2 linked regions of the Astyanax mexicanus genome follow. The protein of the gene in region 1 purifies or fractionates together with the protein of each later gene. This does not show direct contact. Links are inferred from orthologs where the notes say so. Each region holds a gene or a part of one and is shown on either strand. Other genes may lie near its edges.

Evidence for each region.
Region 2: the proteins of mink1 (region 1) and strn4 purify together in Homo sapiens (affinity purification with mass spectrometry; 3 studies listed by BioGRID and IntAct, with this or other methods). This does not show direct contact. The link is inferred for Astyanax mexicanus from reciprocal best matches to the Homo sapiens genes MINK1 and STRN4.

What each region holds. Positions count from the first base shown.
Region 1 is NC_064408.1:25,112,957-25,124,829, forward strand, and holds the start of mink1 (misshapen-like kinase 1), read right to left. Parts: upstream 4,554-11,873; 5' UTR 3,150-4,553; coding exon 3,093-3,149; intron 1-3,092. Other genes in the region: pld2 (phospholipase D2), read right to left, coding at 10,443-10,667. UniProt on the Homo sapiens protein: Serine/threonine kinase which acts as a negative regulator of Ras-related Rap2-mediated signal transduction to control neuronal structure and AMPA receptor trafficking.
Region 2 is NC_064425.1:35,549,554-35,560,614, reverse strand, and holds the start of strn4 (striatin-4), read left to right. Parts: upstream 1-6,478; 5' UTR 6,479-6,670; coding exon 6,671-6,958; intron 6,959-11,061. Other genes in the region: fukutin-related protein, read right to left, coding at 4,054-5,495, 5,862-5,977, 6,105-6,166. UniProt on the Homo sapiens protein: Calmodulin-binding scaffolding protein which is the center of the striatin-interacting phosphatase and kinase (STRIPAK) complexes.

The DNA of each region.
Region 1 (11,873 bases):
TGGGTAGCTATTTTTTGTAACCCACCGCTATGTTAACCAGATGAAAACCACACTTTCACTAATGAAACACAAAGATTGTTTAGTGTTAGTGTATTATAATCTAGGTCAAACCATGGCTCATTTCATTCTAAATCGTATTATTCAGTAATTACAAGAAAGCCAAGGAAACATGACTATGTTTAGGATAAAATGTACTTCTTAGGCTCATGCAACACAACATGAATTAGTAGGTGAATTGGTCATGAGTAGTGAGGTGTTATCTTGTAAAAGACTTTGAACACAGGCCAACATGCTCATGGCATGGCCATTTGAATTGTAACAGTTTGAGCGACTGTTAGCAAGTGCATCCTGAGCATCCTGATCATCCTGATAGCAAGTGCTAGAAGGATGAGACGTTCCATATCCAATGTGCAGGAATTTAAAATTCTTATATATTTACATTTAACATTACAATTGTATTTATTTGTGCATTCTTCTACTATTATAAAAGTAGGCTCATCTGAGCTTTGTTCAGAATGGTTTACTCATGAATCATTGCATGTAGCATTAGCATGTAGCATTAGCTATACAGTGAACTGTCTAGAAATGGTGGAACCATCAGTTAGATGTTTTAAGAAGTTTATTTTGTGTACAGCAAGTAAAGATCTGGATCCAGATGTGTTGACCAGGATTAGACTTCAACAACTGTTTCTTTCAAATCACTAATACTAAAAAATACCCAATACCTCTGTGTAACATTAATAGCAGTACGCAAGTTACTTTAAAAGACATCATACAGACAGACAGATACGGAAACAGAAATTTCCCCGGAATTGCAACAACCATAATTTGACGATTTGCAACCACTTACAATCTGCCAAAAAACACAGAGACATTCTGCTGGAGTTTCTAAGAGTGCACGGTGTACCCAGTAACCACAAGAGAAACAAACTAAAATCAGCTGATGAGAAGCTGTTCAGGAGCTGGAATGCTTGGCTGCAGTGCAGCATGCACAAGCCTAAACAAAATCAACAGTGGCCAAAATACTAAGACATTAAAGAGCCAATACCAAATAAAAAATAACTTTCACTTTTTTTTAAGTTTGATGTTGTACATGGATGTTGTTAGATAATTAAAATTGTACAGTTTAATATTTTCAACACCGAAGTGCTTCAGTATTAAATGTGGCTCAAGACAATTTGTCCTGCCAATCAGAAAAAGCTCATTTACACAAGTCGGTCTTAAAGTCACAAGAAGTCACTTGGTTAAACCGCAGACGCTTGTTTTGCTCAGTGTTAAATATTACAGAGCCTTCTTTCTGTATCCTGTGTTTATTTTATCTGCATTAAAAACAAATTTCTAAAAGCATACGGATATGGGCGGAACAGAATAGCTTTCCTAGAAGTAGTGGTATACTATCGCCATGTTTGTTCTCATCTGAAACTTTAGACTTTTAACCCTCTAGGGAATGTATTGCTTAACATTGATACCAATGCAAAACTTAAAATGTACATGTTCATTTTTGTATGTTAAGGGGCTATAATGTGCATTGTCACTGACCAATGAAAAACAAGTAGTTTGCTACATAGTTTGAACTGTCCTTCACTCTGCGTCACATTTCTTGATGAATGGACTGATATATATTCTCCAAAATGACCTGAATTACAGTCTTTACACTCTTTACAGATACTTCCATTGAAGGTTAAGTTGCAGCCTTGGAGATACATGTCTTTTATTAGACAGCAATGATATGAGTCTTCCAAGGTAGCTAGTAAGGTTGTAAAATGGCCATGTGATGTTGATTTAAGGGTGTTTTTGGTACACAAACTTTAGCCAATACCATTATAAATAAATCATTTTTTAACAAAAGAAAGGAATTCTTACATATTCAGACACACAGATCCCTCATGAGCCATGGATTAGGCCTTTTTCATGAATCCATAAATGCATGAATCTAGAGGCCTGCTAACCCTAAGGCAAGTGTTCAGGCCCAGCCATAATAAAACTCAAAGCACAAGCACTAAGGCCAAGTGGCGCTCCTGCACAGCTAGATTAACTAACAGGCAAAAAACATGATAGCTTTACAGGCGAAAAAGAGCGCAGAAACCTGGTTAGGTTACAGCTGTCACGACCACATCGTGCATCACAATTCAGACAACTGTAGTATTCTTTATTATTATCATTACTGTATTTTTTTTTATACTAACTACTGCCATTCTTAAGATGTTTGCTTGAGAGACAGCCATCAGTCACTCTCAGGTGTGGCATGCAGGTATCTATCTATCTATCTATCTATCTATCTATCTATCTATCTATCTAGATAGATAGATAGATAGATAGATAGATAGATAGATAGATAGATAGATAGATAGATAGATAGATAGATAGATAGATAGATAGATAGATAGATGAAAATCTCACACACCGAGACACATCGCCCTAGCTAAAAGTTAACCGACTGTTAACTAATAACTAGCTAGTGAACTGCTTGCTGGCTGCCTAGTGATGCTGAGAGGCATGGGCTAGTAATAGGATTCGTATGAATGGGGCTTAGATAAGTATCTTGACTTGGATAGACATACCATAGAAGTAGTTCAATCAAAAATTTAAATCATTTAAAAAGAAAAAAAAGAAAGAAAGAAAGAAAGATTCTTACAACGAGACACACAGATATATGCGCCCTGTGTTAGGCCTGATAACCCTGAGGCAAGTGTTCAGGCCCAGCCATAATAAAAACTCAATAGAAAACAAGCACTGAGGAAAAGTGGCGCTCGTACACACCTAGCGTTAACTAACATGCTTCAATAACCTATTAAGTCAATTTTACTGGCGAAAAAGAGGCAGAAACCTGTTTAGGTTATAGTCATTTAACTGTCACGTTCATGTCTAGGTTAATTATTCGCTTATTCTGAATGTGTTGGCTTGAGAGATTCAGCCAGCAGTCACTCTCAGGTGTTTCGTACAGGTGTGGCGTGCAGGTAGTTCGTTAGCTAGCTTAGCTAACGTTACTAGATATAGCTAAAAGTTAACCGACTGTTAGTTAGCTGTATCACTTAAGATAAGTAACGTTATATAACTAATTATAGTTAGAGAAGTGATTAGCGTTAACTTACCCTCAGTGCGGCCAAGTCGATTTCGTCCAAACTCCGTGTGGGCGCGTTTTCAGACATGGTTCAGCCAAGTTTGTAAAGTCCGTGTCCAGTACAAAAACACGTAGATTAACTAGTTAGATTACTAGCTAGATGGTGAGTGATATATTCCCACAAGCTGAAGATCCTCTTCGTGACTTCTCCCCTTGATTCAGCGTTGAGGCGAAAACGGGAGAGGCGGTTTAGAAAAACTTAAGACGTCCCATCTGGCTCGGCTTGACAGCTACAGTGGACGATATTCAGCTCGCTAGTTAACTATCGCTAGGTCAGATTAACCAGTTGGTTAGCTTGCTAGCTAGTTATAAGGCTCGACAGAAATAGTTAGCTTAGCTAACCTGGTTAACTACAGCTCTGTATTCTGTTCGCTAGTTAAGTTAACTGTTTGTTGGGTTTGTTTTGAAGTCTCTGAAGGCCAGCTGATGAGACTGTTCCCCGAGCTGTCAAACAGAGCTAGCTTGATTAGTTTACTAGCTAGTTACGCGATAAAAAGCTAATTTTAGTTAGCAAGTTTGCTATCCAGCGCTGTTAATCCTCCTCAGACTGCGCTGCATTACACTAACTACTAATACATTAGCTCCAACGGTCACTCCTCGCTGGAGATCCGATCACTGCTCCTGTGCTGCGCTCCTCCTCACCACTCATTTTGGCAAGCCCCCCCGCTCTGCTGCACCTCACCAGATAAAAAAAAACAGGCACAGAGAAAAAAGAGCAGAAGGGAAAAAGGCCGATATGTGCAGCGGCAGGCGTGTTATAGTCTCTAAACTCCTCCAAATCCCCCTTTTTATTCCTCTCTCTCAGCGCCGAGTCTGAGGCGCAGGCTAAAGCTAGCGCTAGCCCAACGGACGAACCGAGCTACAGCTAATAAACAACACGGCGCTGCATCAGCCGAACCGCCTCGCGTCTGTCCTGCCCACGCAACACACACTCAGGCTTATTAAACACACACACCTAAACACTTAGGATCCAACATTTCCCTCAAAAAAAAACGATAACCTGCATTAATCGTTTAGCCCAGTCTGCAGCGCTGAAATGTTCACTGTGTTCTCCTCAAACAACACAAACTTTCACTCCGTCCAGCCCAGTTAAAAAACGTCAAACGGTGTTTTCAAACGGGGTTTTCAACTTGAACCCTTCCTCTCCAGAAAACCAGGCTCGTCTGAGCACGAAGCGTGTCGTTTAAAACATGTAGCGCTAGCTAACCCTCGCTAACTAGGCGGATTTAAATGCGTCCAGCTCCTAACTTCAGCTAGATAAATCTCTGTAGGTGAAGGAGGATCAGGCGCAGTTCTGGCGCCTCCACAAAAGCAGCAACTTCTCCCTCTCTCTCCCTGGTCGTGTTTTGGTACGGTCCTGTTTTTCCAGCGCTATGACGTCTCTCCTCTGCAAGAACACACAACACTCTTTCACTCCTTCCTTCTCTTTTTTCTGCTTTCCTTTTATTCCCCACCTCTTTCTCTCTCTCTCAGCCGGGAGAAGGAAGCGCTACGGTACCAGAACAGGGCCAAACTACCTGCTGTGGCTGGAAACTGTAGCAGACAGACACACAGGTGGGTGAAATGAGAACGTAGAGCCTTATAGATACAATAATAAATTGTTAGCTCAGTCTAACAATTAATTAAGTTTAATAAATAATTTCATCAGTTTTATAAATTGTTTTCTCAGTTTGATAAACAATTCAACCAGTTTAATACATTGTTAGCTCAGTTTAACAATGAATTCCCTCAGTTTGATAAAGCATTTCATTTAGTTTAACAAATCATTTCCTCAAGTTGATAAAACATTCCTTCTGTTTAACAAATCATTCCCTCAGTTTCATAAATTGTTCCCTTAGTTTAATAAATTGTTCCCTCAGATTGACAAACAATTCCTTCAGTTACTTAAATTGTTCACTCAGTTTAAAAAAAAAAACATTCGTTCATCTAAAATAAATGTTCCCCCAGTTTGATAAACAATTCCTTCAGTTTAAAATTGTGTTACCTCAGTTTAATAAATAGTTTTTTTCAGTTTAATAAACCATTCCTTCAATTTAACAAATCATTCCCTCAGTTTAAGAAACCATTTACTCATTTTAATAAATTGTTTCCCTTTCCCTTCCCTTAGCTTAATGAATTGGTCCCTCCATTTTACAAACTCTTTTATTGATTTAATAACTTTTTTTTATTATTATTTTAATAAACAATTCTCTGTATACACACACAAATATAATATAATTTGTAGCTTGACACTTAAAGTGGTTATAATATTCAGACACAGAAACACTCAAACATTTTAACTTTTCAAGTCTTTATTTATGACTGACATTGTGAGATTGAGTATGTGAATAACCCACTTTAGTTATCACTTAATAACAAGTAGTGTTCTTTAAACAATTAGAAGAACTACACAGAAGAAAAAAAAACAACAAAAGCATTGACTAAAAGTAGTACTTCATACAATTGTACAAATCATGTAAACTGTTATAGGTGCATATATATTTGAACTTTGTGTGGAAAAGTTTTAGATTAGAAAAAAACTTGTCTGAAAGTTGTCTGAAAATAAATGAGGTTGTAATAAAAGCAAAAGATGGGAACACTAAATACTGAAAAATGAAAGTTTTTTTTCCGTTTTAGTATTGTATACATAGTATATTGACGGTCAGACTGTGTTGTAATTTTATATAGTGTATATCCAATGATCAAATATAAAATATAAAAAAGTTCATATTTAATATTACAATTACAGCACTAAGCCTTCCTATTCAAACTGGTAAACAATACCCTGTACAGAAACTACAAATAATCTGAACATGAGCATACTAAATGGTTCTCAAAAAAGTCTCAAACCAACAGATTGCCTAATGTGGCTGGAATGTAATAGAGCTTGTGTGTGTGTGTGTGTGAGTGTGTGTGTTTTGCCTGCTAGCTAAAAACAGGTGCATGCAGGTGAATGCTTATTCCCCCAAAAAAAGAAAAAGAAAAGCTCAGCTGTGAAGTGGCTTCACCCTTAAGGACCCATAATAGCAGTACAGCATTACATAAGCAGTTTAAAGTTGTTTTTAAAAGCTGTGTTTGCTGCTGTTAACAGAGGCACTGGCACAGCTGCATATGCTGTTTTTTTCCAACAGCGAGTGTGTTTACATGTACTAAATAATCTCAGCAAAATCTTTTTAGCAATAATTTTACACAATCATAATCTGTTTGTCTCTAAAACAATATATTAGTCATTTTTGCAGCCGAATATATGAACAAAACCACTGGGGCATCTGCTCATTCACTGTTTATTCTGAAATTAAAAGCAATTGGTACAATTTACAGTAGCTTAATGCATTTATTTGGACAAATATATGGTATATACAGTCATATATCCAGTGTGGGGCAAAATGCATTGATATTGGTGATAGCACAAATGGACTAAAATCAGCTGTATATCTATTTAAACTATTATTAAAAGTTTTGTGTCAGTGAACTTGCATATTTTTAATGTCAACATTTAAACATTTAATCATTCGTCTTATTATTTGTAGAGCTTCTACATTGATCATTGCTTAGACATATTTAAGTTCTTTTAGCTTAGTGTTTTTTTCAATAGTAGTGCAGTTGTTTAGATTGGGTTAATTTAATTATTTTAAAGCTTTCTATACATTACCTATAAGTGGTTTATAATTATAAAATCTATGGCAATTAGGCTACAATTTACATACAATTTAATAAATTCAAAGCATGTAACTACTAAACTGTGAAACAGATACCACCATGAAGAACCTGAGTATTGCCTGGGCAGCCTCGCTTTTAATTGATACATTTTATTACAGCCAAACAAGGTTAAAACAGTCCATCTTGAATTTATGTTGAATTTAACAGTCATTTAACATTTAACAGAATCACTTGCCAGAAAAATATTAACTGCAAATTCCAATTTGCATATAAACTCATGGACTAAAAACATCCTGGACTGCTGCTCAGGCAGATATGTAAATAATTACAGCTGTGGTCAGTTTAGACATTGGGCTTTGCCACAAGAGGTGATTTCAGCAGGATAATGCTGGCCCACACACAGTAGAGACTTTTAAGGAATGTCTCTACCAGACTGCAACACTTTGTGCGTTTATGGAAGCAGCTGGGATGCCAGCTTCAGCAACAGGCTAATGTTCTGCAGGATGCTACATGCGTTCTGTATGCCTCCATGCTCAACCATATCTCATCCTATGTTCAAGTTAGAGGCAGTCCAAAAGGGTACCTAAAGCTTCCTCCTACAGTTTTTCTCAATAAACTAATAATCCTTTTACTCTTATATTTTATTCACATATATGCAATTCTGGAACAAAACTAATTTAATTTAAATTAATTTCTGAATCAGTTTCCCTGATTTTGCTATTTATAGATATATGTTATAGTAAAATAAACATTGTTGCTTTATTTTATAAACTACAAACAACATTTCTCCCAAATTCCAAATAAAAATACTGTTATTTAGAGCATTTATTTGCAGAAAATGAGAAATGGCTGAAATAACAAAAAAAGATGTAGAACTTTCAGACCTCAAATAATGGAAAGAAAATACATTCATATTCATAAAGTTTTAAGAGTTCAGAAATCAATATTTGGTGGAATAACTGTGGTTTATTGTGATTTATTCACAATTATCATGCATCTTTGCATGTTCTCCTCCACCAGTCTTGCACACTACTTTTGGATAACTTTATGCCACTCCTGGTGCAAAAAGTCAAGCAGTTCAGCTTGGTTTGATGGCTTGTGATCATCCACCTTCCTCTTGATTATATTCCAGATGTTTTCAACTTGGTAAAATCAAAGAAACTCATCATTTTTAGGTGGTCTCTTATTTATTTATTTCTTGGTGTGTTATTTTGTGTCAGTAAGTGTAATTCTGTAATTTGTCAGTTGTTCGGTAGATAAATAAATCTGCTTTGTGAACAGTTCTGCACATGTGCAGTATACATGTTCTGAATAACCCAATTAATTGGACAAGAGCCAGGTGTCTAATTTGCTTTTTCATGACCACTTGAGTCATGTCGTGTTGCTGCCGAAATCTGATAGGCCTGATGATAATGATCATTTGTCTACATGTAAACACGCTCTCTGTTTCCCTATCAGCACCCCTACACCCCTCTCCCACCGACTAAAAACGGAAAGTGGAACCTTCTGGACCACTGACAAAAGTATTACATAACCATAAATACTTGGTTGCCATGGAGACATCGGAAGGGGGAGGAGCACAATGATTAATGCACACCACCACCCCCTCCCAAAAAAAATAAACATCCAAAATCTCCTCTTCTAATGGCACCCTCCTCAATCCCTTTTTTCTCAATATTTCACATTCACTCCCTCAAAAAAAAACAGCCCCGCCCCCAACCTGAACCCCTGAGCCCAATATTCCCCACTTTTTACTCCCCATCATCACCATCACCACCATCACCTCATCCTCCTCTCACCGCTGCATTTGATAACATTTTATTACATTCTCTTTCCTCCTATTTCTTCTCTTTCTCCCAAAGCCGCTGTTTATCTAGACTTCCTCTCCATCTCTCTCGTTTCCTCTCTCTCTCTTTCTTTTTCACTCGCTTTCTCGCGGCAGCCGCGACCCCGTCAGCTCTTTATACCCGTCACCATAACAACCACAAATGTTCTGACAGATTTGCTGGCACTGCACAGAGAGGTGCAGCACTAGAGAGAGAGAGAGAGAGAAAGAGAATGAGAGAGAGAGAGAGAGCGATAGAGGGAGAATAAGAGATATAGGGAAAGAGGCAGAGAAAGCAATGCCATCCACCTACGCGCCTTTGCAATAATAAACGTACGTTCTGTTCGTCTCATTGGAGACACTCAACTGTGCTCACCTCAATCCTCTCAAAAACACACACACACACACACACACACACACGCGCGCACACAGACACTTCACACCATCCACCATTTTACAAAACTACAGCAAACTGAGACTAGTGCAGATTAGCTTGCTAACTTCTAACTGAGCCATTTTAAAAGGCCCTCACAGCTGCAAGTCCTTCGTCTAAAAGCACCATGATAACACACACTTCCTTTGTGAAGTGCCGGATGGCCTCCATCCAACTAAAGGTGTGAAAATGCTTTACAATGCATTCAATCTGAAGGTGCTGATTCAAATGCATAGGCTTTGGAATGTTTGTCTTGAAAAATATTTAGTGAAGTATGTGCTTGTTTTCTATGGTAAAAACAAACTCTCCGGCTATTTTTTAAGTAAAAATCTCTTTAAAAAATAGCGTCATCTACTTGTCAATCATAACATTGATTTTTTGATATACTGAGTGAATTTGCAAAAGATTCATAATCATAACGTGATTAAAATCATGATAGTGTAGTGGATAATCAGAACCAAAAGTTCGGTTCTGCAACAACTCATTTTATGAAGACTATGAATTAAATAGAATTGTGTCATTGCAACATCTGATGTGCAAGATCTCATGACGTATAAATGACATTATAATTTACTGAATAGTGTAGTAAAGAATCATAATGAAATAAAATCCTAATTTGGCAAAATCTTCCCATTATGAACTGAATCATTTCCTAAAGCACTTGAATTGTGCCACAGTTCCATTTTGTGATATAATGATAATTCTGGTTTCCAAAAGAACCAGAATTAATGTTAATCTAAATAGATAAATGTGAGATTTTGTGACACATCAAACTGTGTTTGGAAGAATCAAAATCATATTCTGGTGAAAAGATGCTGAATTCATTATGTATTGAATAATTTCTTAAAGATTTTCAAACTAATCGAATTGTGTCAGTGTAACATCTAAGATCTAGGTATCTAAGTGACCTATTATATTTGAGTTACCAAAATCTTAGATCTCATGACAAACAGAATAATTTCTATAAGAGTAAATTAATCAAATCATAGTGTCCTTAAACCCTAAAGGATTTCCTAAAGAATTCCAATCCTGATCTAGAACTGAACTGTTGCCTAAAGAATCTGAACTGAACCTTGGTAAAATTTCATGCTGCACCAAATGGTTCTCTAAAGAGTCATAATAGTAATTTAATCTAATGTAATCTGACGTAAGATCAGAGATTTACATTCCTAGCTTTCTAGAGCAGATAGGAAATGGCCGAGTACATGCTGTAGCACACTTCCATGTGGTTAGACTAATCTCTCTCCAACCACTAACCCATACACTCTATCACATTAGCACAGGCGTTTTGGTCCGTTATCACACTGAACCCACCGCTTCCAGTTCACTCAGTAGAGGGCAGATAATGAGTGTTTATGGGTTCAGATTGTTTTCTTTAATCCGTGTCTGCTTATCACACCATAACCTCCCTGGTCCAGGCCCCACTACGTCCACACTTCCAGAGGGACCATTCTCTCTTTGGTGCCGGGCGGCGGGAGCAAGATTTCCTCGCACAAAAAGTGCAGGGGGAAGTGGACAAGAATGCCCCTGATGGCCTGAAGCTCACGGCTGGCCTTCTCTGGGTCCATCTGGGCGAGGTTGGGGACGCTCACATGCTCCTGCAGCTCACGCATGTTACGGATCGAGTCCAGCGGAAGACACCTGAACACCTGCCGGAAAGAAGCACAGCACAGAATAAATGATTAAAATGATAGTTCAGGAAAAAAGTCTACGTTAGATTAAATGTTTTCTCCTTACTGAAAACTAAATTGGGCAGAAAGAAAATACATAATTGATGCACAACAAAAATAAAAAAAAAAATGCAGCATTTACATTATAGTATTAAGGATGCAGAGATATATGTATATGGACAGATATATATATACAGCACTTCTTATTTTACCAAATTATTTTATATAATTTATTTTAATCAATTTTTTTGATTTTATCAAATTAAAAACCTCTGAAATATAATCAAGTGGGAGATGGATGATCACAAGCCATCAAACCAAGCTGAACTGCTTGAATTTTTGCACCAGGAGTGGCATAAAGTTATCCAAAAGCAGTGTGTAAGACTGGTGGAGGAAAAAATGCCAAGATGCATGAAAACTGTGATTTAAAAAAAAAACTAATATTGATTTCTTAACTCTTAAAACTTTATGAATATTAACTTGTTTTCTTTGCATTATTTGAGGTCTGAAAGCTCTGCATCTTTTTTGTTATTTCTCATTTTCTGCAAATAAATGCTCTAAAGGACAGTATTTTTATTTGGAATTTGGGAGACATGTTGTCCGTAGTTTATAGAATAAAAACAACAATGATTATTTTGATCAAACATATACCTCTAAATACCAAAATCAGAGAAACTGATTCTGAAACTGTTGTGGACTCTTCTGTTGTGGACTTCTAATTTGAAAAGTATTAAAAGAGAGTTTATCCTGCTTTTAGCCTGCTTTCCAGGGAAGGTTTATATCAAATTTTGAAGCATTGCTGTTAAGCTGCTGAGGATTTGATTGCATTTTGCAGTGAGAGAGTGACTAAATTAAGTACTAACTGAAGCAACATCATGCCAGAAAATACATTTCCTTTACTCCACAGCTCAATACTGAGGGAGCTTTATACCCCTCTAGCCCAGAGAAGAACACTGACTAGCTGTCCACACTGACAACCTGTCAAGGAGTGGATATATTATGCAGCACGAAAAAAAAATAAGGAAACGGAAAATCATAACGATATGAGCAAATCTGATTTGAGATAATGTATTTTTAAATCCTTTTCTTATAAAAGTTTGTTTTGGGGGGATTTACAATAATATACAATACTTATACAATAAAATCTAAATGGTTAACATATAACTCACTAAGTAAGATTGTGTT
Region 2 (11,061 bases), on another chromosome or scaffold:
GCATTTAGCCAAAGGTTAACAGCATATCAGTGACCCTTCACACTCTTCAGACAGAAACAGCTTAGCAACCATTTTAACTTTTTAACGTTATTAGGGTTCTTTTCCAAGCCAACTTAAAGTTCGTTCACGAACTTTACCTTTTCTAGTTTTATTTGTTTTTCTTTATTTGTGACTGATACTCCCGAGATTATTTTTTTCTTCTGGAAACTCTAGTAAAGAGCTGGCCCTGTGCCTTTTGTATGAACTTGCGTTCAGAGAATGAGTTTGAAATTACTATTTTGTTTGACCTATAGTATGTAAATCTTTTGATGTAAAATGGCTTTTGTCAAATCAAAGCACACATTAGAACTGTTTCAAATTAAGCTGAACCTGGTTGTAAGGCTTTCATGATATTGATTTGTATGTGCTTTAATCACTCCTGTAGAATATTCCTTTTTTTATATTTATGAAACTTTGTCCCTCTTTTGAGGCAGTTATATTATTTTATAATTGTAAGTTTTAAAATGTATTTAACCTATTTTCTTTACTTTTCAGAAGTGATTAATCATGCTTATTTGTGATTATATATGTTTATAAGTGACTATATCCTCAGGTTTGGTCAGAAATATCTCAGTGCTACTGTTATAAACACAGACTTTTTTTTTAAACCTAAAAAAAAATATGCTGCAATAAGCCCAGAAGTGGAAGGAAGAAGTCTCCTTTAGCACAGACTGTGTATTATCAGGCTCAATAATATTACAGATTGCAAAGTGAAAATATTACCTTGGTTTTGACTGGATTATTTATTCAACCTGCATGTTCTGTTTATTTATACATTATGAAGTGCTGTTTTCATACATTTGTATTAGCAAATATATGTCCAACAATGTTCTGTAGTCAACTACGTTCACTGATCAGCCAGAACATTTAACTCATTTTGATTTAGCCCTTATTTCAACTCTTCTGATCATACAGGAGGAAGCTGTAGTTATATAATGACACACTGTAGTCCTACCACTGATGAAGAACTAGAGTTTGATGAACACTGTAAACTGTGCAGCAACAGATTCAGAGCTTCTGTCTCTGACGTTACTTTATCTACAGGGTGGAGCAGCTGTAGGTAGGAGTGTGTAACAGAGTGGAGGAGAGTGAGAGATTAAACACAGTGTTTAAAAACTCCAGCAGCACTGCTGTATCTGATCCACTCACTGTACCAGAACAACACACACTAACACCTCATACACCACCACCATGCTAATCAGTGCTAATCACTGCAGTGCTGAGAATAATGACCCACCACCCAAATAATAATAACAGCTGCTCTGTGGTGGTTTTCTCTCCTGTGGGGTTCTGAGTATTAAAGAACAGGGTGAAAAGAGCACAATAATAAAGTATACAGAGAACAGAACCGATACAGAACTACAATCTGTTATTTTAAAACTACAAAGTGCAATATATGATCAGTGAGTTTAGAAAAGGATGTGGTTTTAATGTTGTTAATCAGTAGTTAATCAGTGTATATCAAGATATTGAGTGTATGGTATGCTTTCAGTCTATTTGTCTGTCTTTCACGTTTTTATGTTGACTTTAGTTTGCCTTTATGAAGTGTCATACATGATCAACTTTTCTGTGCTCAGTTGGAAATATCTGAAGTGTCAAGAGTGTATATATCTGCAGTAGAGTTATGCAGTTGGAGGCTAATCATTCCAATATTTTGTGGTGAGAACATTATGCCAGTGATTTATGTAAATGCTGATGGTTTTGTTGTGGCTGAAATGAAAGAGATTTATCTTACAGACTATGCAGAATGTACTTGTTACTGGGTTTAAATAAAGTATTTTATATTTAATTATGTGCTTTGTTAACTGGTTCTGACGGATTCAGCTCTGCTATTCGTTTTATTAGCCGCTCAATTTTATGAACAGTCCGGGGTTCACCAAGACCATAACATAAAAAAACAAAACAAAAACAAGGCAATGTTTTAAATAATCAAAGTTGTTTTATTTACTATTTGGTCCGCATTTACATTTTACACGTATCTCAAAAATTACTCAAAAGATGTCAGAATGGACTAAGCCAAAATAACAAACAAAATAATTAACTGGGATTTAAGAATCTAACTCACCTAACTAAACAAAAAAAGAAAATTACTAGAAGTTTAACTTTTCTTTTGGTTTTATAGTCAGAAGCTTTATGGGATGACTTTGGTTAGAATAAATGTGGCGATTCAAAGATAAAGTCTCGATTGGTCCACTCACACAAGAGGTTAATAGCTATAATATGAGCATACATTACTTACTTATATACAACATACATTACTTACATTTATACAGACCTGTGGGGTTTATTGGGGATCTTTCAGTAAGGCAAAAATATTTTTGCATGTAAAAAAAACAAATGTCATTCATTTGCCCCCAGTCCTTTCTTGTAGGGTTTCCTTTCCAGCACAGTGGACCTGTTTACAGTGATGTGTAAGTCAAGGGAATAGGACAGCTATTGCAAAATATGCTTCTATTTTCAGTGAACTATTTCTGTGTGGGTCTGAATGTATCATTGCTCTACTGGAGATTTATCTATGACACTGGCTTCAGGCAAAGACCACCATATCATAAGTCACTTGGTAAACAACTGAATGATACATTGCGTTATAAAAATGACGGCAAACTTACAAAGAAAACCCAACAGTGATAAAATTACTAAAATTATTACACAGTAGCAATTAGGATGTTTAGGAAGTCTTTTTATAGGCATGATTTTTGCCTGATCTGACACAGAATCAAATCCTAATTAAAGTTCCAGCAAGGAAGATTTACTTGCAGCTCCAGTTTGATCTCACATCATTTGAACAGCACACTTCAGCCTTGTATACATTCTAATTACATTCTTATAAAAAATATAATACACTTAATTTAACCTGGTATATTTTTCAATCATAGGATCCATGATCATTTGATTTATTTTTAGAGGGTGCTTCAGGAAAATGTAAGAGACCATCTGCCAAAAGATAGATGAAGGTAAAAGCACACAGCTGAAAGATTTCTGCATAGAGGAGTGTGAAACACTCTTCTCCCAATGTCAAAGGGCTTAATTTAGCTTTTGTCTTCCAAGAGGTAAAATGCATATAAACTTGAATGAAATAAACTTGCATTTTTTTTTACTTACATTAAAATTGTTTTAAAAAGATATTTATTATCCAGATATTTATAACACAACTGGCAAAACAGGGTCAGGTTTCAAGCCTGGACTATGTTTAGGAGCAGGGTAAGGGTTAGGTTGTTTCTGGTTGAGGTTAAGTAACAGTTAGGACCAGGTTTATGATTAGAAGTAAACAGATATTTAATTAAATGCAAGTTAATGGCAGGTTAGGTGTAAGCTATAGCTCTGTGTGTATATATATATAGCATGCATATTTTGCAGAAAGTTAATGTTTAAAATAACAGTACATTATAGTACCCCTGACCCCAGTCAGTAAAACAACAGAAGCATGCCACCACCTTGTGGTCAGACAAATAAATTGCAATATCTACATTATTCACGTCAAAATAATACAATTTCCCCACTAAATGTTTGCTCTTTTTTGAAATTGAAATACATTTGTCAGCTCTCTTTATCTAATACTTTTAATAATTTCCTATTATAAAATCCCAAATAAGTTCATAATATACCAATTACTGAACTATTGAAAAATTAAGCTATTAAAAGACAATGGTCATGTATTAATTACAAAAACACAAAATGTGCGACACTTTTAGCATAACTTAATAAACTAAAATTAGTAGCATGAGCACAGCTTACTACTCATATGATGTTTATATCCACTAAAGCAAGTATTTTGTAATCCGTCATTTAACCAAAGCCTTCTCCTGTCACATAGTACGTACTGATTTTCTAAACTTTCATATTAAAACAAACATTTTGGAGATCGTTTTTGATTTTTTTGTGGGAATGTTTGTGTATTTCAAATCCTTAAGCATGACAACAGTATAAAACAGATAAACTCAGACGTTTGACAACCTTAAGATTTTAAACTGTTCTCTTTAGTTCAAAGTTTAACACCACAAATAAATCACAACCTCACATTCGACTCCTATCCAGTCTTTTTTTAGCAGGGTTAGGATACTGTGGGTTCTCAATGACCCCCTGCCCAAACTTTAGCTCCAGGAAGGCACGGTGGTTGTTGGGTCCATAAGCAGTAATGCCCACAAATGTCATGGGAACCAGTGGCTGCAAGAAGTGCTCAGGGAATTCTACATCCTGCTTGTGATCAGTCCAAGTGTCCTTGGTCATGACTCCATTCCGTGGGTAAAAAGGCCAAAGATCCACATGCAAGTGGTTAGCCTCACTATACTGGATGCGGTAGAAGTCTCCCTCCACTGCCCGCTCCCACACATACCCGTTAGCATCCACCAGTGACCCTGAGTCTAGGTTCTTCAGGTACTCACAATTTGACACATCCTCCAGATAGATACCCAAATCGACATCATAGTCCCAGGGGATGATATCTTGATGTCTGGCTGCTCCTAACAAACTGCCCCCTTCCAACCAATAGCGCACACCAGAACTGTCTAAGATGTTAATGACATACTTTGTTGTTTCTCTGAGAGCACGCAGGCAACAAGGTGGGGTCCAGCGCTCCAGGTAAAGATACGCGGGTGTGTCGTCACGCACCGTGCCGAAACATCGTGCTGTCTCCTTTGAACAGCCGAACCACTGTTCCCTTCCATCAGGCCACACTAAGCGTTTAAGACCGAAGCTCCGCATCAGTTGGTTGGCAGCCTCTTTAAGCCGGCTGTCCGCCTTCCATTGGTTGTGTGCCGAAGTGAAAAGAGGCCGGTGGCTTGCAGAGAATGATGGACCCTCCAACAGCTTTACCTTCCAGCCTCGCAGTGCAGTCTGTATAAACAGTGAAGATAGCAGGGGGCGTGCTAAGGGGTCAGACAGGTTAAAAAAGTCTTCAGTACGAATGAGGACTACAGCATCACCATGCAAAGCAGTACACACACTGCCACTACTCCCCAGTGCCCCAAGGGAGTATGTTGCTGTCCACTCTTTTAGGCTCACCTGCAGGTGAAGACACTGGACCGCAGCACGAGTCAGCACCGGGGCTGCAATCAGCCGTACTGGCCCACCTCCCTCACCCTCCAGCTCTCGAATTAGCCTCTCAAGCTGCCGCCCGTGATCCAGCTCCACACCGTCAGGCACTAGCAGTACAAATTCTGACTGTACATAAAATTCTGGACGGTGTGCTTGAGGAGGCTGGTCTGGACTCGGAGACAGCACCAGCAAACGGGCATTTTCAGGCAGAGCCAGAGGAGGGTAAGGCAGGGTGTCAGCCACAACCAGGAATGGCAGCTCTGGCCTCTGGTGCAAGAAGGAGCGTGCAGATTCAGCGACATAATTCTCAAAGTCTTCAAACTCCCGAAGCAGGATGGTCATACGAGGACTTCGCAGACCTACTTCACCTCCTACCTTGTTGGCTTCTGCTATGTTTCCCACTACCAGCCCACCAGCAGCTCCTAGGCCAGACGCAGATAGAGAGACTTTCTTTGAGCCTTTTCCCTGCATGCGCTTCTCAATCATCTGCTGCTGTGCCCGGGATACAAAATACAGTATTAACAAGTTCAGCACAATGGCTCCTGTTAGCAGAGCCTGACAGAAACTGATTCTCATTTTCACTATACAGGTTTTACACTTATATAATATACAATGAAAACTAGAATTATACTATGTGACGTACACACAAACGTGAAGACCAGAGTGGTCTTTTGCTAGTGTTTTTCTCATATTAAACATGTCAGGAACAAACAAAAACGTGGTGAGGAATTTGTGAGTTGTATTTAGATGCATAATATCATTAATAATAAACAAAAAAATGAATTGACCCATTGACTCCGGGGTAGTTGTACAAGAGAAACAAAAGTTTTCAGAGTAGGCGGGTGGTGGATTATGACATCCTATCTCTCTGCCTTTGCTCATCCAATCTTTTGCACCACAGAGACTGTAAGACACACAAAGAAAGGCATAAACGCATTAGATCGCCCTTTAAATAAACAAAAAAACCCGATTGTAATGTATATGCTGTAACAACAAACAAGTAGCGATTGAAAAAAAGAACACTGTCTTACCTGTTTCTGGTTGTACATTGACACAAATAATGGTCACTGTGTCTATCCTTTAGACCAAACATTTAGCTCGATCTTACAGGTCTATCACGGCCACACATGGCCGTTCAGATTCTCTGTATTCCGCAACAGTCGATCAGTCACACAGTGCACATCTAAATCCAGAGTAGCTTTAGGCTCTGAGCTGAATCTGCACCGGTGCGCCGGTCATTGTTTCAGCATGCGGAGCGCGCGGGCGGTGCGGGGCGCGGGTGCGGGTGCGGGCCCAGCAGAGTCTCGTGCTCAGTGTTTTGTGGGTAGTAAGCGCAGGAAGCTCGGCGGATATCACAATATAGCAGGAAGCGTCCCGAGGGTGCGCTCGAGAGCTTAACCACAGCAAGGAATAATGGAGTGAGGGGGGAGGGCGCGGCGGTGTGCATGGGATCAGTATTTGGCAGGCTCGGGCTGTGTGTTCGGTTTTGTCCGTGTCGCGAAGGAAAATAGGAAACGGCTCCGTTTGAGCGCGCGAGGAACGGGGACCTCGAGCCTTTTCTCACTCCAGTTTCTCCGTGATTTGGCGACACGCTGTAATGGAGGCGGAAAGATTCGGCGGGGGGACGAATCAAAATACTGCGGGTAGCGGAGCTGGGCGAAATCCCAACGGGCCGAAGACTGTGCTCGGTCCGCCGTCTGCAGCGCCCACCGCCGCGGCTCCATCAGCGGCGGCCGGGGCCATGCCTGGGTCCTCCCAGCCACGGGAACAGCAGGACGGGGAGGCGGGCCTGTCGCTGCCCGGGATTTTACACTTCATCCAGTATGAGTGGGGGCGCTTTCAAGCGGAGAAATACCGCTGGGAAGCGGAGCGAGATGAGCTGAGGGTAACTTTTACATTAATTTATGTTCTTATTTTAAAGAGTCAACAGGACTGAAGGAATGTGTGAGGAGCAGCGGTAACAGTAGAGTCAGAACCCAGGGCTGGTGCTGCGGGTTGTTGGCGTATTAGTGAAAGTATAATAATGTACAGCTGTATGTTCATGCTGTTTCGTGTGTCGCGTATTTGTCTGGTGTGTGTGTGAGAAGGTTTGGCCTGTACTGTGTTTTTGTTTGAGTTTCTTTGTAACATGCGCTCCCTCCCTGTGCTACAGTAACTGTGCTGTTAGTGGTGTAGTGTTAGGCGTGTAAGGTATATTGGTTTGCTGCTCATATCAACAGAAAATGCGCTGCCACGTGACCGATGAACCACTCCTGAGATTCAGTTTGAGATCTGGTTGTAAATCCAGGGCGAGCAAAAAGAGCGATGACGTAATGTGGTTTGTGGGCGGAGTCTGTAGTAAAGCAGGGACCGTGGCTGTGCTCCTCCGCCCAGAGTAAGGAGCTGTGGCACATTTAGATGAACACGTTCATCACTTTCAGGCTCCCTTTTTGGAACACAGTTAGTTACTGCACCTATCTATATAAGCCGTCCGATGCAGACTTGCAAAGGCCCGTTTTAGAGCTGCAGCTAATGATTATTTTGTTAGTTGGCTAATACATCAATTAATCCTGCCATGCCCTCCATCTCTCTTCATGTAGGCGTGGCTCCTGTTCCAACGCATGCTTTACCTCACCTGTAGATTTCTGCACACCTGAATGTCACTTTTTTTCGACCACAATAACTGGTTCTGTTTAAGCTTATAAGAGCCTTGGTGCTTTTCAGTGAACCAGCCCATGTTTGCGCCAGTTTTAGTGGGTGAGAGGATACGTCACAGACCACTTCATCAGCAGAGGTCTTTGCACAATGGCTCCTGCATATGTAGATACGCCCACATATTTTGTCAGGGTTTAAGCTGAAAATATTCTTTGGTTCCGTCTGCAAACTTAACTTTTCAGGTTCCAGAGCCTATTTTTTTTGGTGGAAATGCTCCAAATGGTTCAGTATTGGGGGCCCGAAGAAGGTGGCCGTTTCATGTTGGACGAAAAACGCTACCTGTTGTCCAATCTCTTCCTAAAAGGGGAACTGAACGTGTGGGGTAGTAAAACATAATAACAAGTACCAACTTTTGTCAGATAGCCCACCAACTTTTACCTCCAGCATGATCAAATACATCGCGTTTAGCCAATCCATTTGGATTTTTTTTATGAACAAGCTCAGACTAGCTCCACATTTAAACAGAGACACTGAGAACTTTGCACATGTATAAAAGACCAATATTTAAATACTGTAAAAATATTACTGTATCACCACACCCTCACATCAGCCATTCATTTCAGTAAATTACCTAACCCATACCACAGACATTTCAGTGCACATGTGTCCTTACATGATGTTTAAACTGGCAAACATTAAGACTTGGAAAATTTAGGAGATGCATTGTTCCTGGTGTGTGATCCCAAATTCTTTCCTATCTCTAAGACGTGTGCTGTTCTACTTGATGAAATATCTCTGGAGGCAAAGAGGGAGAAATAGGAGTTATCTGCCCTTGACCCAGTTCTCAGACAGAGGAAGTCAGGATGGGTTGGGCAGCACATTATATATTATTGCACTTTACTAAAGTCAAATCAAATTTATTTATATATCGCTTTTTACAATACATATAGCAATCTTAAAAATTAAGTAATTATACACAGGTTTAATATATGGGTCAAAGGATTTTCAACATGCCAATTTTAAAATACAAAAAAATTTTGTATCTGTTGCAATTAAAATGCTGTGAACACAAACAGATTGAGTTATTTTAGTGTATTTTCATTTAGAAGAATTGGCCTTGGCCTTACAAAATGTCATGTGGTGCGACCGTGATTTATGTTAAAATTAATACATTGCCATAATATACTTCATTTTTAGTTTACAAATTCCCACTAATATAAAGTGTCTATTAATAAAGTATTTGCATTATTTTTTAGTTTTTGTAAATAAGGATCTCAATTTTGTTTTTTAGTGTCACAATCACTGGCTTTAATGTAGTTAATAGGGTAATTTTCTGTTAATCCAATAAAACTGTTAAAATGTTTTCTAAAATACCATTAACTTCAGCATACAGTATCAATAGTTAATATTTCAGCAACAGAAAATTGATACTTTATTTAAAATTTAGTAGTTACTGTTATTATAGGTTGCACCACATGATGAGTGGTCGCTCCAAATGACATAAAGTATCGTATCATTACTATTTAACTATTTAATGAGATCAATAAACAATAAATTCAACAAAATAAATAAATACAAAAATAGAATTCCATACAAAACCAGAATTGTTTTCTATTTTTTTCCCAATTTCTCCCTAATTTACATGACCAATTACCCAACTCATTTATTCAGACTTCCCCTATTACTAGTGATGCCCCAACACCAGGAGGGTAAAGACTAGCACATGCCTTCTCACATGTGAAGTCAGACTCCACCTCTTTTTGAGCTGCTGCTGATGGAGCATCACAGCGCTAACGCTCGGAGGAAAGCGCAGCGACTCAGTTCTGATACATCAGCTCACAGACGCAGTCTAGGAGTGATGAGGGGAAAGAGGACCATCTACTGTACCCACCCAGAGAGAGCAAGGCCAATTTTACTCTCTCATGGCTCCAGCAGCTGATGGCAAGCTGCATGACTGGGATTCGAACTGGCAATCTCCTGATCATAATGGCAGCGCTTAGCCCGCTGGACAACTCTGAGCCCTGATTTAAAGCAGATTCAATTAAAATATCAAAGATTTGTCATAAACACCAATGTTTCATAAAGTTTTTTTTTGTTTTTGATTAACAAAATTCTCATCACACTGTAATATGTGTAAAACATAAGTGTTATGATGTGTTGTAAGTGCAGCGAATATTATGGCTTTGTTAGGAACAGTTAATTTTAGAATTGAATAAACCAGGTTTGAGGGTGCATTGTGTCAGTACCTAAACTATGTTGGAAAAAACTTTCTAAAAGTTACTAGATGTTCTCAATTGTTAGAATAGTTTTTTTTGCTTGTTTATGGTTGCACTTTAACCATTAAGGGGAAATTTAAGTAAAAACAAAATAAATAAAAACTTGTTTTTAACCATTTCTTTATCATTTGTAGTTTTATTTTTTGTTTTTAAAATTTTAAAAAAATTTCTGGGGCCATGTTGCCCAGCTCTTCACCTCCCTATAACTAATTTGTGCAGCATCCGAAGACAAAACCTGGTGAATCTTTAAGATGCCTCTAACAATCGTTAATTTGCCTGGAATCATTACATCATATTTCTGAACGCTCTCAATAGTAAGTAATAGTTGACTCTGATTTTTTGGCCAGAATCTCACACAAGTCTAATTGCTGCAGGATTAGAATTAACACGCTGCCTATGGCGAGTGGTTTTTACTTGCTTGACAGCGGCATCTGATAAAATAGATTAACAGTTGTAAAGAAATACATAAAAGTTAAAAGACATGCTTGGTTTATTTATTTATTTTATAATTTATTTATTATATTTTACAAAGATTAAACATTATCTGTAATTTTGACTCACAATTACTTAAATTGCATTAAAATATTTTCCAAAAAAGTACTAAAATATAGTACTTTATGTGTATATGTCATCAACTAAATATAAAAGCACAAGAAGTGACAAGCACCACATGATATTTTGACACTTTAAATAACCAAAACTTTGTGATTAACTAATTATTTTTGATAAGTAAAAGTAAGTACAAATGTGGGAGAGAGACTACATATCTATAACAACTTTTTATGCTTTTAAACCATTTTTTAATAAAAAAAAAATTTAGTTGGACACCAAATGTAGGCGTCGCGTCATTGACCCATATTCAGGTGAATATTCCAAAACAAATTCCATTGTTCTGCTTCCTCTGAGTTATTGACTGTCACCCAACACAGATCATCTCATTCTCCACTACAGATTACATCCAAGTTTGTATGAACTCTTTTTTTTTTTGTAACTGCTTCCACTGCTGGTGTGGCTATTCACCTGGAAATATTAGATCTGTGTGGATGTATAATGACATTTAACATTCACTTTAAAGTTG